Cricetulus griseus: one gene and its partners. The protein of the gene in region 2 purifies or fractionates together with the protein of the main gene of each other region. This does not show direct contact. Links are inferred from orthologs where the notes say so. Each region holds a gene or a part of one and is shown on either strand. Other genes may lie near its edges.

Region 1 (3,646 bases), on a different chromosome or scaffold from region 2:
CTCCCTCCCTCTCTCACTCTTCTCCTTATGGTTCTTTATTTTTTATCTTTGTTTTTGAGACAACAGCTCACTATTCACTATGTAGCCCAGACTCGTCTTCCACCCCGCTTCCTCAGTACCGAGATTACAAGTGTGTGTAACATGCCCAGCCAGCCCACTGCTGAGCTTTAAGTACAAGTGGGAACAGTGATCTTCAAACCAACAAATCAGTCAAATTGCTCTGGGGTTCCTTTTGCCAGGGCTGGATCCAAGACAGGTCCTGCCAACTAAGGCATGGGTGGGGAAGGTCCCCCTGGGCTACAAGGACTACTCATCCATCTCTCTTCAAAAGACAGGCCAAGAGCCTTCAATGCACTATCCATGACACTTGGGCACTCTAAGGGGCCCCTGCTCATTAAGGAATGAGGAGTAAAGCTGCAGCCCACTTAGACACTTAGAAAAGCTAAATCCCTGCTCAGAAGCAGGCTCCTCCTGCTTGTAGGATGTGGCACAGAAGGAAGAGCCACTGCCTGCTACAAGAACCGGAGGCTTTCATTGACAAATCAGTTTAGGGGGCTGATACAATGCTCTGAGAGACACATTAGCATTCTGAGAACTAGAAATTTAAGGGGGGAAAAGAGGCCAAATCATTGCATGACTTTAGGTGAAGTGTTTCTCTATCTGTGGGGACCACACTTAACTGTCTATCTGCAAAGGAAAAGCACAAAGCTCTACAAAAGGCAAGTCAGCCAAAGAGCAGCAAGTAGGGCTGCCCTCTCCACAGTCCCAGTCCCTAAAGGCCACTGGGCTTCCTCATGCATGCCCTGACCTGTACAGGAGCAGCTGCAGATGGAAGACAACAACAGGGACTCACCCGCCATGCTCGCAGTATGAGTGGATACACTCCCGACTGGTCTTGTCCCACAGCTTGACAGTCTTGTCATCACTGGCAGACACAATGAGCCGCCCATCAGGGGAGAACCTAAGTTGAATGGGGCAGAAGTCACACTACTAACAGACACTTTGAATATGACACCATGTTCTCTACAGCCACCTCTCCCAGCATGCTGATACCTGATCTAGGGATTCTTTGGGCATTTTGTGTTATTGTTATTGTTGTTTTGACACAGGGCCTCACTATGGGGCCCTGGCTGGCCTGCAACACTCTATGTAGATCAGGCTGGCCTCAAACTGTGGCAGTCCTCCTGCCTCTCAAGTCCTGAGACTTATAGGTGTACACCACTAGACTCAGCTCCCTGACCCAGGAAGGAATGACCTAGGGTTACACATGCTGCCCTAATACCTTCAGTGATCCTGGGCAAGTGGCTTCCCTCGGTGAGATCCATCCTTGCCAATGCCCACAGTAATCACGAGCAGCACAGTACACACAACACCCAGGAGGCACATGGCCTGCAGCAATACACACTGGTACTGCTTGCTAATGAGGAGGAGGTCAGGAGCCCCACATCAGTACATCAGCAAAACACAACAGGCCAACAAAAACACATGGAGGTCCTGGAACCTACCGTCAAAGGCCAACTGTGATCATAATACCCCACTTTTCTGGATTGCCCCCTGCCCCTCCCCTCCATTCTTAGGTCCTTGACCATAAGACCTCTAAGAACAGGACCCTCCAAGAATAAAGAATGGTTCTGTCCTAGGGAATAAGTAACTTCCATGAATCCACAGAGGAAGATAGTTCCATGCTCCCTAACTCTGAATTTCATGATTTCTTAGTATTCTGGCCACCGTAACCCCTTCTCCTCTGGAGCAGAGCTATGACACTAAAGGGAAGCTATACAACTTGCCCCAAACAGGCTGACACTCAGAGTTCCTCTCTGTCCCCCACAACCCTTACATCCTCTCAGGTTCTCCAGACAGGGAATGCTCACCTGGCACAGCGGACCCAGTTGATGTGCTGGCTCAGGGAAAACAGGAATCTCTGGCGGTGAGTTGACCACACCTTGACTGTCTTGTCGTCAGAGGCTGTCAAAAGCGATTGGCCATCACTGCAGAAGTGGACACTCCTCACTGTGGCCGTGTGTGCTCGAAACACGGTTGACTCACCTTTGCTATGAGGATAGATATCCAGACTCAGGAGATTCCTAATAGTGACATGAGGACCTACAAGTACACCAAAGTTCTCTCTACCTCTCTAGGCCTGACTGTCCCAGTCTCCCCAGAACAGCAAGAGCCTCCCCAACAGAAACAAAGTGCTTCTCTCCCACCTCTCCCCTTGTGGGAGTCCTTTCATCATAAGGAGACAACCCCAACTGAAGCCCTCTGCTAGCCTCTCTCAGAGGTCACATGTCCCACTGTGACCAGCTCAAAGCCAGGGTAAAGACCCAAGGAGGGACAGCTCTTATACCAAGTCCCTCAGCGTTGTTAGTCCCTTGAGGCCCATAACTCACACATTGGGTATCCAGATTCGAACAGTCTTGTCTCGGGAACCTGAGGCAAGCAGGTGTCCTGATGGGGAGAAGTTCACACAAGTCACAGCGTCCTTGTGGCCCGTGAAGCGGTAGGCACGTGACTGGGGCTTCATGTGCCAAATCATGAGGCATGAGTCCATGGAGCCGCTGGCTGAGGAGAGTGGGTAACACGATGATTCTCAGACCTCAAGAATCTTGATCACCTACCACATTGCTAGGAATACAGGAGAGCAGGCCCAGCTCTACCTTCACAGCATCCCCAGCAGAGCAATGGAAAGAATCCCAGTGGGAGTGCCCACACCCTATAACTGCTGACATACAGTTTGGAGAGCTAGGGCCTGGCAGTTTTCCATGCCAACATAGGAACCAGAGTGACAGGCCATTCACATGCCATTTCTGTACTGTGGGGTCTCCTCATTGATACTCTGAGAGCACAGGGCGAAGTCCTCCCAATACTCAGGAGCCAGTCAGACAAAGGTCATTTACTATTGAAAGGACCAACTTGGTTGGGGCTGGAGAGATGGTTCAGCAGTAAAGAGCACTTGCTGCTCTTCCAGAGGATCTGGGTTCAATTCCCAGCAATCACATGGTAACTCACAACAATCTGTAACTCCAGTTCCAGGGAAGCCTATGTCCTCTTCTGGACTCTGGGGGCAACAGGCACACTTGTGGTACACAGACATGCATGTAGGTAAAACATTCATACAAATAAAATAAGACAATCTAAAAATAAATTAAAAAAAAAGAAAGAACAGACAAAAAAATGACTTCAGTTCCCTTTTTGCTTACAGCAAACCATTACACCAACAGCCTCTGGCAGGAAACCTTAACAATAAGATAAAGAAGCAAGCTGGGAAGTGGTATAATACCAGGACTTGGGAGGCAGAGGCAGGTGGATCTCTGTGAGTTATGAGGACAGCCTCATAAAATGAGCCTCATAAAATGAGCTCCAGGACAGCCAAGGCTACACAGAGAAAACCTGTCTCAAAAAACCAAAAACAAACAAAAAAGATAAAGTGGCAAGCCTAATCCGTGGAAAAAGAAATCTGCAGCCAGAAAGCTACTTAGGAACACCAGTGTATATAAGAAAGGGACAGCAGTATGGAGTTGGGAGATGGACCTTGTTAACAACTTTCTCACTAGTAGTAGGTACAAGAAAATATACCATATTACTGTGGACAATCAAACTGAAGATTCAAGGAAAAGGAGCCAGTTTGGGATCCCTGCCACAGAGC
Region 2 (4,254 bases):
CAGCCTTTGCCCTAGTCTGTCACTCCCCACCAGCCTCACCGAGCTAGGTGTGCCACTGGCCTCTGGTGTGGCTCTCTTGCGTACACTGTCCAGGCCCCTGTTGACTCTCAGCTCACGGCTCTTTGGGGGCACATAGCCATCCTTGAGGGAGATGAGGAGGGGGCCAGCGTCCCGACCACCCAGCCACTCCTCAGCTGTGAGGGCAGGGTCAGGTCCTGCCGTAGGTGGATACAGGTCCTCCTGGAACAGGTCCGACTGTGGGCAAGGCCAAGGCTGGTCATGAGAGTGTTTATGTTCCTGCCCCTCCCTACAACCCCCGTGGTCAGTTCCTGTCCTAGCGCCCAGGGAGGAGCATAGGAGCATCACCTTTCTAGGCACTGTCATGGCAATGGGCTCACATTTCCGCTCATGAAGCTTATAGAATCTGTGGAAACAGGAAGATGAGTAATACTATACAGCATGAGTGGGTGCTGAAGGTCTGGTCAGAAAGGGGGAGGGGATCATTCACCTGGCAATCTCACACTTATTCACTTCCAGGCCACGTTTGGGCATGTAGCCCATACCACGCTGAGACTCCTTGGAACTGAACATGGAAAGATAGTGCAGGAACGGAGCCTCAGAAGTGATCTCAAAATACCGGATAGAGCTGTCACCCTGTCGGTGGTATGGGCTAGAGTCAGTACCAGCACAGGTCACCAGCCTTTGTGTTCACCACGCCACTTACCCACTTCCCTGCCCCCAGCCCTCCTGAGTACCTTGCCACAGAGGTAAACAATGTTGGTGTCAGGGTCAAAAAAAGGCAGCAAAACTCCGCTGCTGGTGTCCAACTCCTGCAGGGACAGTGGCTCTTCCAGGTGCTTCTGTAGAGACAGGTGGGGGTAGCAATAGGCTGGGCCATGTCATGTCCTCACTGGACAGTAAGTAGGAAAGGACCCACAGTAGCAATGGAAACTCCCCACCTCAGTGATAAGACAGAGACTTAGCCTCCAGCCTTGATTCCCAATCTAAAGGGTTCCCTTTCTCTGCACTCACTGTGTCCCACAGCGCCACCTGCCGCTCGCTCATGCGGCTGAAACCTGTGGTTAGAATCTTTCCTTCTGATACAAACACAGCATGCACTGGCCGAGTTCCCTCATGAGGACGGTCCTTTTCCTGAGAGGAAGGAAATATGGTGGGTCAACTTCTCACAGTCTCACCAAGAGACTAGAACCTAGGTGGGTGCAGGGAGAGCAACATCCAAGGGTCAAGGTTTAGGGTTCATGGCAACTTACAGCCACAATGGTGCCTTTTCGAGGCTCAATGATGCGAACACGCTTGTCACGGCAGGAAGTACAGATGAGACCACCATCCCGACTCCAGTCCACACTGTAGATCGTGTCCGGGTGCACATCTGGGCCGAGTGTCAGCACAGCTGCCCCAGTGCCCACATCCCACACCAGGATCACATTGTCACAACCTGCACAATTGGCCAGCGGTGAACTATGAGCTTTTGCCCTCCTGTCAGGCTCCTAGCTGCCCCCCCCCACACACACACCCTTACAGCACCTGCGCTGAGCAGTACATTCTGGGCTGTGGGGTGCCAGGCCACGATGCCCACCCGCTTGGTGTGTCCCTCCAGGGTGACAACAGGCTCCCGCAGGGGCAGTACCAGGCCTCCGTCAGGGATCTCCCACACCTACAGAAAGGGGCAAATGGCTCGGGTTCAAAAACCAGGTTTTTCCTGAAGACCCCTCCTAGCCACATTCCTACCAAAACTCACCATGACCGTGCAGTCCTCAGAGCCACTGGCAATGACATTGTCATTGTGTGGGCACCAGGCGATGTCTAGCACAGGGGCGGTGTGGCCGCAAACCAGGGGCACATTTTTGTCCACTCGTCCAGTCTGGAGGACACAGCAAGGGTTCTGATGGAGGTGCTTTGACTTCCAGACCCAATCCAACCTCCCCACACCCCTGCAAAGGGACACACAGGAAGGCTGTGGGGTCCCTGGAAGCACTGGGGTGGGGAGGGTTTGACCTCTGTCCCAGTTCCAGGAAGGCTAGCACCAAGCAGCATGAGATCCTGACCCCCTCTATCTTGGTGTCATCTGTGGGTGGCACAGGCCCTGGGCCCAGGACAAGCATGGGGTTAGGGTCCCCAAGAGGAGAGGGTGGGGATCTATGGGATGCACCCTAATCTGTCCCAAGCCTCTGGACAGCAGCAGAGGTTTGGAAATGGCCTCTTCCGAGGGCCAACTGCTTCCTGTGTAGAGAACAGTGCAGGGTGCAGGGCCGAGCTTCACCCGACAACCACTTCCTCTTCTCCTCTGCTTCCATCGGCCCTTTTAAGGTAACAACTCGGGGCCCATCTCCCCTTCCTGTTTCACCCCCTGAGGAGCCCAGGAGTGTACTGGGGCTAAAGGGTAGTACGGGCTTAGAGGGCTTTTGCCTCATCTCCACCTGTGAGCCAGGGCTTACACTTGGTGAGTCCCCGGAGGCTCAGTTCCTTACAAGCCAGACCTGGAGTTCTCGCTCCTGAAAACCCTGGAGCAGCCCTGCCCTGAAACCTGCCCCCACCCCCATTTTGTCCCCAGAGAGCGTAAGGAGCAAATGGCCCTGTCCCATCCTACAGGTAACAGCACTGACCCTCGGAAGGCTTGGTACCAGGTGCCTACTCAGGATCCCACCGCCTCAGTGGACAGCAGAAACCTCCCCAGGAGAGCTGCTGTACCAGAAGCTCACCTTGCCTAGGGGTAGCACCAGGAAGGCCCCTCCCCCACTGGCTTCACAGATCAGAGCCATGAACTTGGGGTTGACAGCACAGAAGCCACTGTCCCAGGTGGTCTGTGAGACGCGCACATCCTCATAGCACTGGTCAGCTTTGGCTGGCTGTCCAAACACGTGTCGGAATTTGCTGGAGCGAACCACCTGCCGGCTCATCCTGAGGGACACAGATTATAAACTTTTCTCAGAGTCAATTCTGGCCAAATGTTGTTATCCCTAGAGCAACCCTTAGCCTGGCTTTTAGGGTTCCCGAATCATGACTGAGGCACTCTGACCTACTCTCCATGACTGACAGCCTGCTTACCCTCCCCAGTTTTTCTTCAGTCAAACTCCCAGACACTTGAAGCCACACCCTCAATCCTGCACCATCAGCCCCTACAACAGAGCCTGATATAGTGTAAGCACCTAGGGGCTGGCTCTTGGCTGAAACAGTGCCTCCTTTCCAATGGTCCTGACACCCTGGAGGCGAGTTCCCTCCTACTGACCTCTTCCAGACCCTACATCCCACACAGCCATACAGCACTTCCTACAGGCAGGGCAGGGATGCTCCTCCCTAGCCTTCCCTCAGGGATGGCACACAGGAAGATGTGTGCCAGCTTGCCTAACAGGGAATGAAGTAGCAGGATGGCTTCCCCAGGTTTCTGGCCACAAGAAGCAGCAATGGCTTGGGTCCCAACATCTCCCCACACCTCTGCCTCTTAACCTCCGCTCAGAAAAAGCAGGTGTTCTGTACCATCTCTGCTTCCTTCAAGGATGGGGATGCCCAACATGACTTCCCTGAGGTCCGCTAAGATGGTTACCCACTGTGGCTGGGCAGCCAGCCAGTGAAGCCCAGGGGCAGCTTGTGTTCTAGATCCCCATCCCTGTGCCCAATCCCTCCACCTCCCTAGTGAAGGAGTCTTAACTGCCCTATGGAAAGCACCCTGCCCAGGGCCTCTCTGCCCACCTCCCCAGCCTCGCCCATCTGCTCTGCCTTGGGGGGGGGGGCTTCTTGCTGGGACTTTAACCCTCACCCACTCGGCTAACCCTAAGGAGGCTCCCAGGTCTACACAGAAAGCAGGTGAAATGCATGAGTGAAGGTCTCCAAGACAAGGGGACATAAGCCCCCCAGTAAGCAGTCTAGATTTGGGAGAAACCCCAACCTAGAGGTGGGGGCAGGAAGATGTGCCCCACCCGGCCTCCTCCCCCACCCAGGTACCAAGCCCGGAAACCACGGAAAGGGGAACTTGCTCTTTTCTTGTTTTGCACTCAACCCCTTCCTGTCTCAAAGCTTGGGGCAGCTACTTGGCTCACCCCACCCTGGCCCCCACCCTCATCGCCCAGAAGCTCCCTCCCAGGGACACAGGTCCCGAGACCAGCTGTGGCCGCTCCCAGCGCGCCCACCTCCATCTTGGTCACGATGGTCCTTTGCCCTCACCTTGGAGCACTCTGGGACCTGCTTGCCGCTTCACACTCCTTGGTCCCGGGCCCTCCCGGCGAGGCTCATGAACAG
Region 3 (3,646 bases), on a different chromosome or scaffold from region 2:
GAAATAAACATTTTTAAATTAAAAATATTTTACATATTATTTTTAATTAGAATTCATATACGCTTCATGTATTTAGCTATTTATGCTTCTTGTATTTCTTTTATTATACATAACTATATTTAGAGCCACTTATGATTGATCAAGGGAATTTAAAGAGGAAAAACTGCCTTCAAAATTAATGCTTTTGGCTTTGTTTTTAAATCATTAATGTGGAAATTTTCTACATTTTTAGATTCTTGATATTTAGCGCTAAAGTATGCAAGGCCAAGAAAAGCAATGGGGCAGGGACAGGGAAGTGGGGGAGATTTTTCTCTCTGTGATTCAACAGCCATGAATTGACTTTGTTGTTCAAGGTCAGAAGCCAAAGACCCTTACCCTTTGGAGCTCAAGCATGTCTGTGTTATGCCACATTTTTAAAGTGCTCTGTACTTTGACTTAGCCAAAATATTAGTACAATTATGAATATATAGTTTGTCAATAAATAATAAACACTTTGTGTCTGAAATTGTATCTTCTTTTTCTTTCACATTTTGTCTTTGTGTTTCTGTGTCAGAAATTCAACTAACATTTTCTTACCAAGCATGAGTATTTGTATTTCTCTGCTGATACCAGTTAGAATTCCTAAATGATGTATCTAGCTGGTAAAATCATCATTGAGTTTAATCCGATATTTCCAAAGTAATGTCCACTATAAAATGTCTACATCATATATTTACCTCATTTTAAATGCTTATTTTGCTATTCTACCTAATTTTCTTGTAACCTGGGTAGGAAGAATCTCTACTGCACTATAATTTTAACACTACTATCCTCGATTTGAATTGTGCAGTGCTGCTTAAATGCCTCAAGATTTCTCCAGTTCTTTTTATAAACTCCAAATCTTGTGCTATCTTTCCTTTCTTAGGACACAAACGAGTCTGCCAAACAAGAAGATATTTTGGAGTCTACGACAGATGCTGCGGAATGGAGTCTAGAAGTCGAGCGTGTACTACCGCAACTGAAAGTCACGATCAGGACTGACAATAAGGTATCAGAGAGAGAGAGAGCACATATGCTCCAAGAAACCACCTTATAAGGTGCTTTCAGGTTGAAAACACCACAGTTTTAAGGATGGGGAGGGGTCAGTATCCAGGATGCTGGCCTGTGATTTTTCTAATGTTGAAATTATAGACATGTGCCTCATTGCCTGATCTGTGCTTTATCTTACAAGGGTTTAACAAATTATTGAATGAATACTGTAATACAGTCTGAGAAGAAAAATCTTTGAAAGGATTTGAAACATATGCTATTTCACTTGGATTGAGGGATTTTTGTCAATAACTTCAATGTGATTTATTGAAAATCGTATTCTCTTGAGGTGAACTGGAATTCCGTGATGATACCAGTTGATTAGAATTAAAAGATATTTTAGAACTATTGCTTAGCATAATTTATTGTAACCTAGATGTTGTCTTAGATAATCTGTACTACAGTATATGCAACTGGAAGTTAAAGCCAGGGGCAGGATTTCTGCCTGTATTCCCAGCACTCAGATGGCTAAGGCAAGGGGGTCAAGAACTCCAGTCAATGTTAGGAAGACAAGAAATATATAATAAGACAAGGATATGGTAATTGAGAAAAGGAGCTGCTTCTGAATCAAGGTACTGTTTTGTTTCTGTTTTTGTTTTCTTTGGCCTATGGCATCATAAGTAATTACTTTGGTGCAAGCAAAAGCATATAGGAGAGCTGATGATCCAATTCTCACTAACAATTTTAATAATCTCTGCATAAAGAGCTTAAGAGTAATGTGTTTCCTTTTTTGTGGAAAAAAAATGCCAATTCTAGTTTTTGGATTTGTTTTGTTTTGTTTTGTTTTGTTTTCCCGAGACAGGGTTTCTCTGTGTAGCTTTGGAGCCTATCCTGGCCCTCGCTCTGGAGACCAGGCTGGTCTCAAACTCACAGAGATCTGCCTGTGTCTGCCTCCCGAGTACTGGGATTAAAGGCCTGAGCCACCAAGGCCTGGCCTAGTTTTAGGGTTTTATCAGAACAAATTCTCTTTATGAAATTAAAACTCACTATTGTTGTGATTCCAGATATAATAATATCTTAAAATAATTGTGTAGTTGGGAACAGTTGAATCCCAGAAGAGAGCAAATTTAGCTTGTTTACTTTCATTCTAAGTATACTCTTAGAGTCAGACATTTCATTTAGAACCTAATGGGTTTTGTGAGTGTATTTTAACTACAGTCATTGATTTCCACACACTAGAGATAACCAAGAAAGAAATGGTGTAAGCATAGCCTCTAACACCATATTGTTTTGCAGAACTATGTGTAGTTCAGATTCTAGAGTAGACCAACTCAGAATTTTGGATTTGTGAAGAATAAGTGTCCTTCTGATTTGGGAAATAATTAACTAATTTAGAATTGGATGCTGACTCTCACCACATGCTACAAGCTTAGGATTGACGATTGACTGTGCCAAATTATTTATACAATCAAGCATATTGATGTCTCTGGATTTGGGGGATATGAGGATATTAGTTTGAATTTTGATTTTTATGGTTAAAATATACTGATCAAAGCCATACTTGATTGCTTCATCAGAATTCTTTTCTGAGTCATTCGATCCTTATGGACAGTGTTTCCCCAGCATCCTTTTTTTTTTTTTTTCTTTTTCTTTGAGCCTTTCAGATGTACCCCCAGGGAAAGCATGGCATTAGGGTCAATATTTGTGTAGCTCAAGAAAAATGAAATTATACCATGACTGAAAAGCATAAAGAATCTAGTGACTGAAAAAATGGATTGTTATTTCTCAAAAAATTAAAAAAGGGTAACCTTTCTTCTCAGACCCATTGTCACTGATAGTTGCTACAGCTTCTGGTCACATCCTACTTTGCCTCTATTCTTGATCCTACCCAAACCATGGCCTTTATTTGGTCAATAACTTTCCCTTAGCACAGGAGACTTTGAGGCATTCAGAAATCCTTTTTATTTCATGATTGAGGGAAGAAAAAAGAAATTAAATATTTGAAGAATCAATGTGTTTTACTGGTTATGTATTAATATTTGAATAGATTAGAGATTTTGAGAGGCACATAATAAAGGGTCTCATTATTTAAACTCATTATAAATTTATTTTAAATGACCTTACATTAGTAGTAAATAAGTTTCATATTTGTCTGCCACAGGATAATTTTTTTTCACTTTTCCTCTCAAGCTAAGTTTATTACTTCTATGTTTTCTTGTAGAGAATTAAAAAAAAAGAGAGAATCTTTTGGGAATATGTTTTTTTTTTTACATATTACATTTGTGCCAACCAGAATCCATCATATGCCAATGTTTTCCTTTGTAATCTTTCCATAATGGTTTAGTCGGTTCTTTTTGCTAAAGCAGCATGTGTCTGTTATATGGCACTACTTGCTATTATTGTCTGTTTCCAAAGAATAGAAACTAATTTTAATATTAGCAGAAACAAAATAGAATTAGGAAAAAGAATATGTGCCAAAAATACAAATAATGTGGTGCTCGACTAAAGACAAAGGTCTCATTGGATGCTAATCTGAATACAATTAAAAAGCTTCAGGACAGAAAAGGAAACAATCAAATTAAGAAATACCCTAAAGGATCTGAACAAAACTGCTAGGAAAGAAATATCCAACCTATAG

What was found.
Region 1: the proteins of coronin-1A (region 2) and Poc1a purify together in Homo sapiens (affinity purification with mass spectrometry; 3 studies listed by BioGRID and IntAct, counting the BioPlex papers as one, with this or other methods). This does not show direct contact. The link is inferred for Cricetulus griseus from reciprocal best matches to the Homo sapiens genes CORO1A and POC1A.
Region 3: the proteins of coronin-1A (region 2) and Ift57 purify together in Homo sapiens (affinity purification with mass spectrometry; 3 studies listed by BioGRID and IntAct, counting the BioPlex papers as one, with this or other methods). This does not show direct contact. The link is inferred for Cricetulus griseus from reciprocal best matches to the Homo sapiens genes CORO1A and IFT57.

What each region holds. Positions count from the first base shown.
Region 1 is NC_048597.1:214,487,349-214,490,994, reverse strand, and holds part of Poc1a (POC1 centriolar protein homolog A), read right to left. Parts: intron 2,563-3,646; coding exon 2,391-2,562; intron 2,104-2,390; coding exon of another isoform or gene 2,052-2,103; coding exon 1,872-2,051; intron 962-1,871; coding exon 854-961; intron 1-853.
Region 2 is NC_048596.1:74,040,047-74,044,300, reverse strand, and holds the start of coronin-1A, read right to left. Parts: upstream 2,919-4,254; coding exon 2,721-2,918; intron 1,883-2,720; coding exon 1,760-1,882; intron 1,676-1,759; coding exon 1,546-1,675; intron 1,457-1,545; coding exon 1,272-1,456; intron 1,153-1,271; coding exon 1,033-1,152; intron 861-1,032; coding exon 756-860; intron 655-755; coding exon 509-654; intron 425-508; coding exon 367-424; intron 256-366; coding exon 40-255; intron 1-39. UniProt on the Homo sapiens protein: May be a crucial component of the cytoskeleton of highly motile cells, functioning both in the invagination of large pieces of plasma membrane, as well as in forming protrusions of the plasma membrane involved in cell locomotion.
Region 3 is NC_048597.1:41,436,648-41,440,293, reverse strand, and holds part of Ift57 (intraflagellar transport protein 57 homolog), read left to right. Parts: intron 1-904; coding exon 905-1,027; intron 1,028-3,646. UniProt on the Homo sapiens protein: Required for the formation of cilia. Plays an indirect role in sonic hedgehog signaling, cilia being required for all activity of the hedgehog pathway.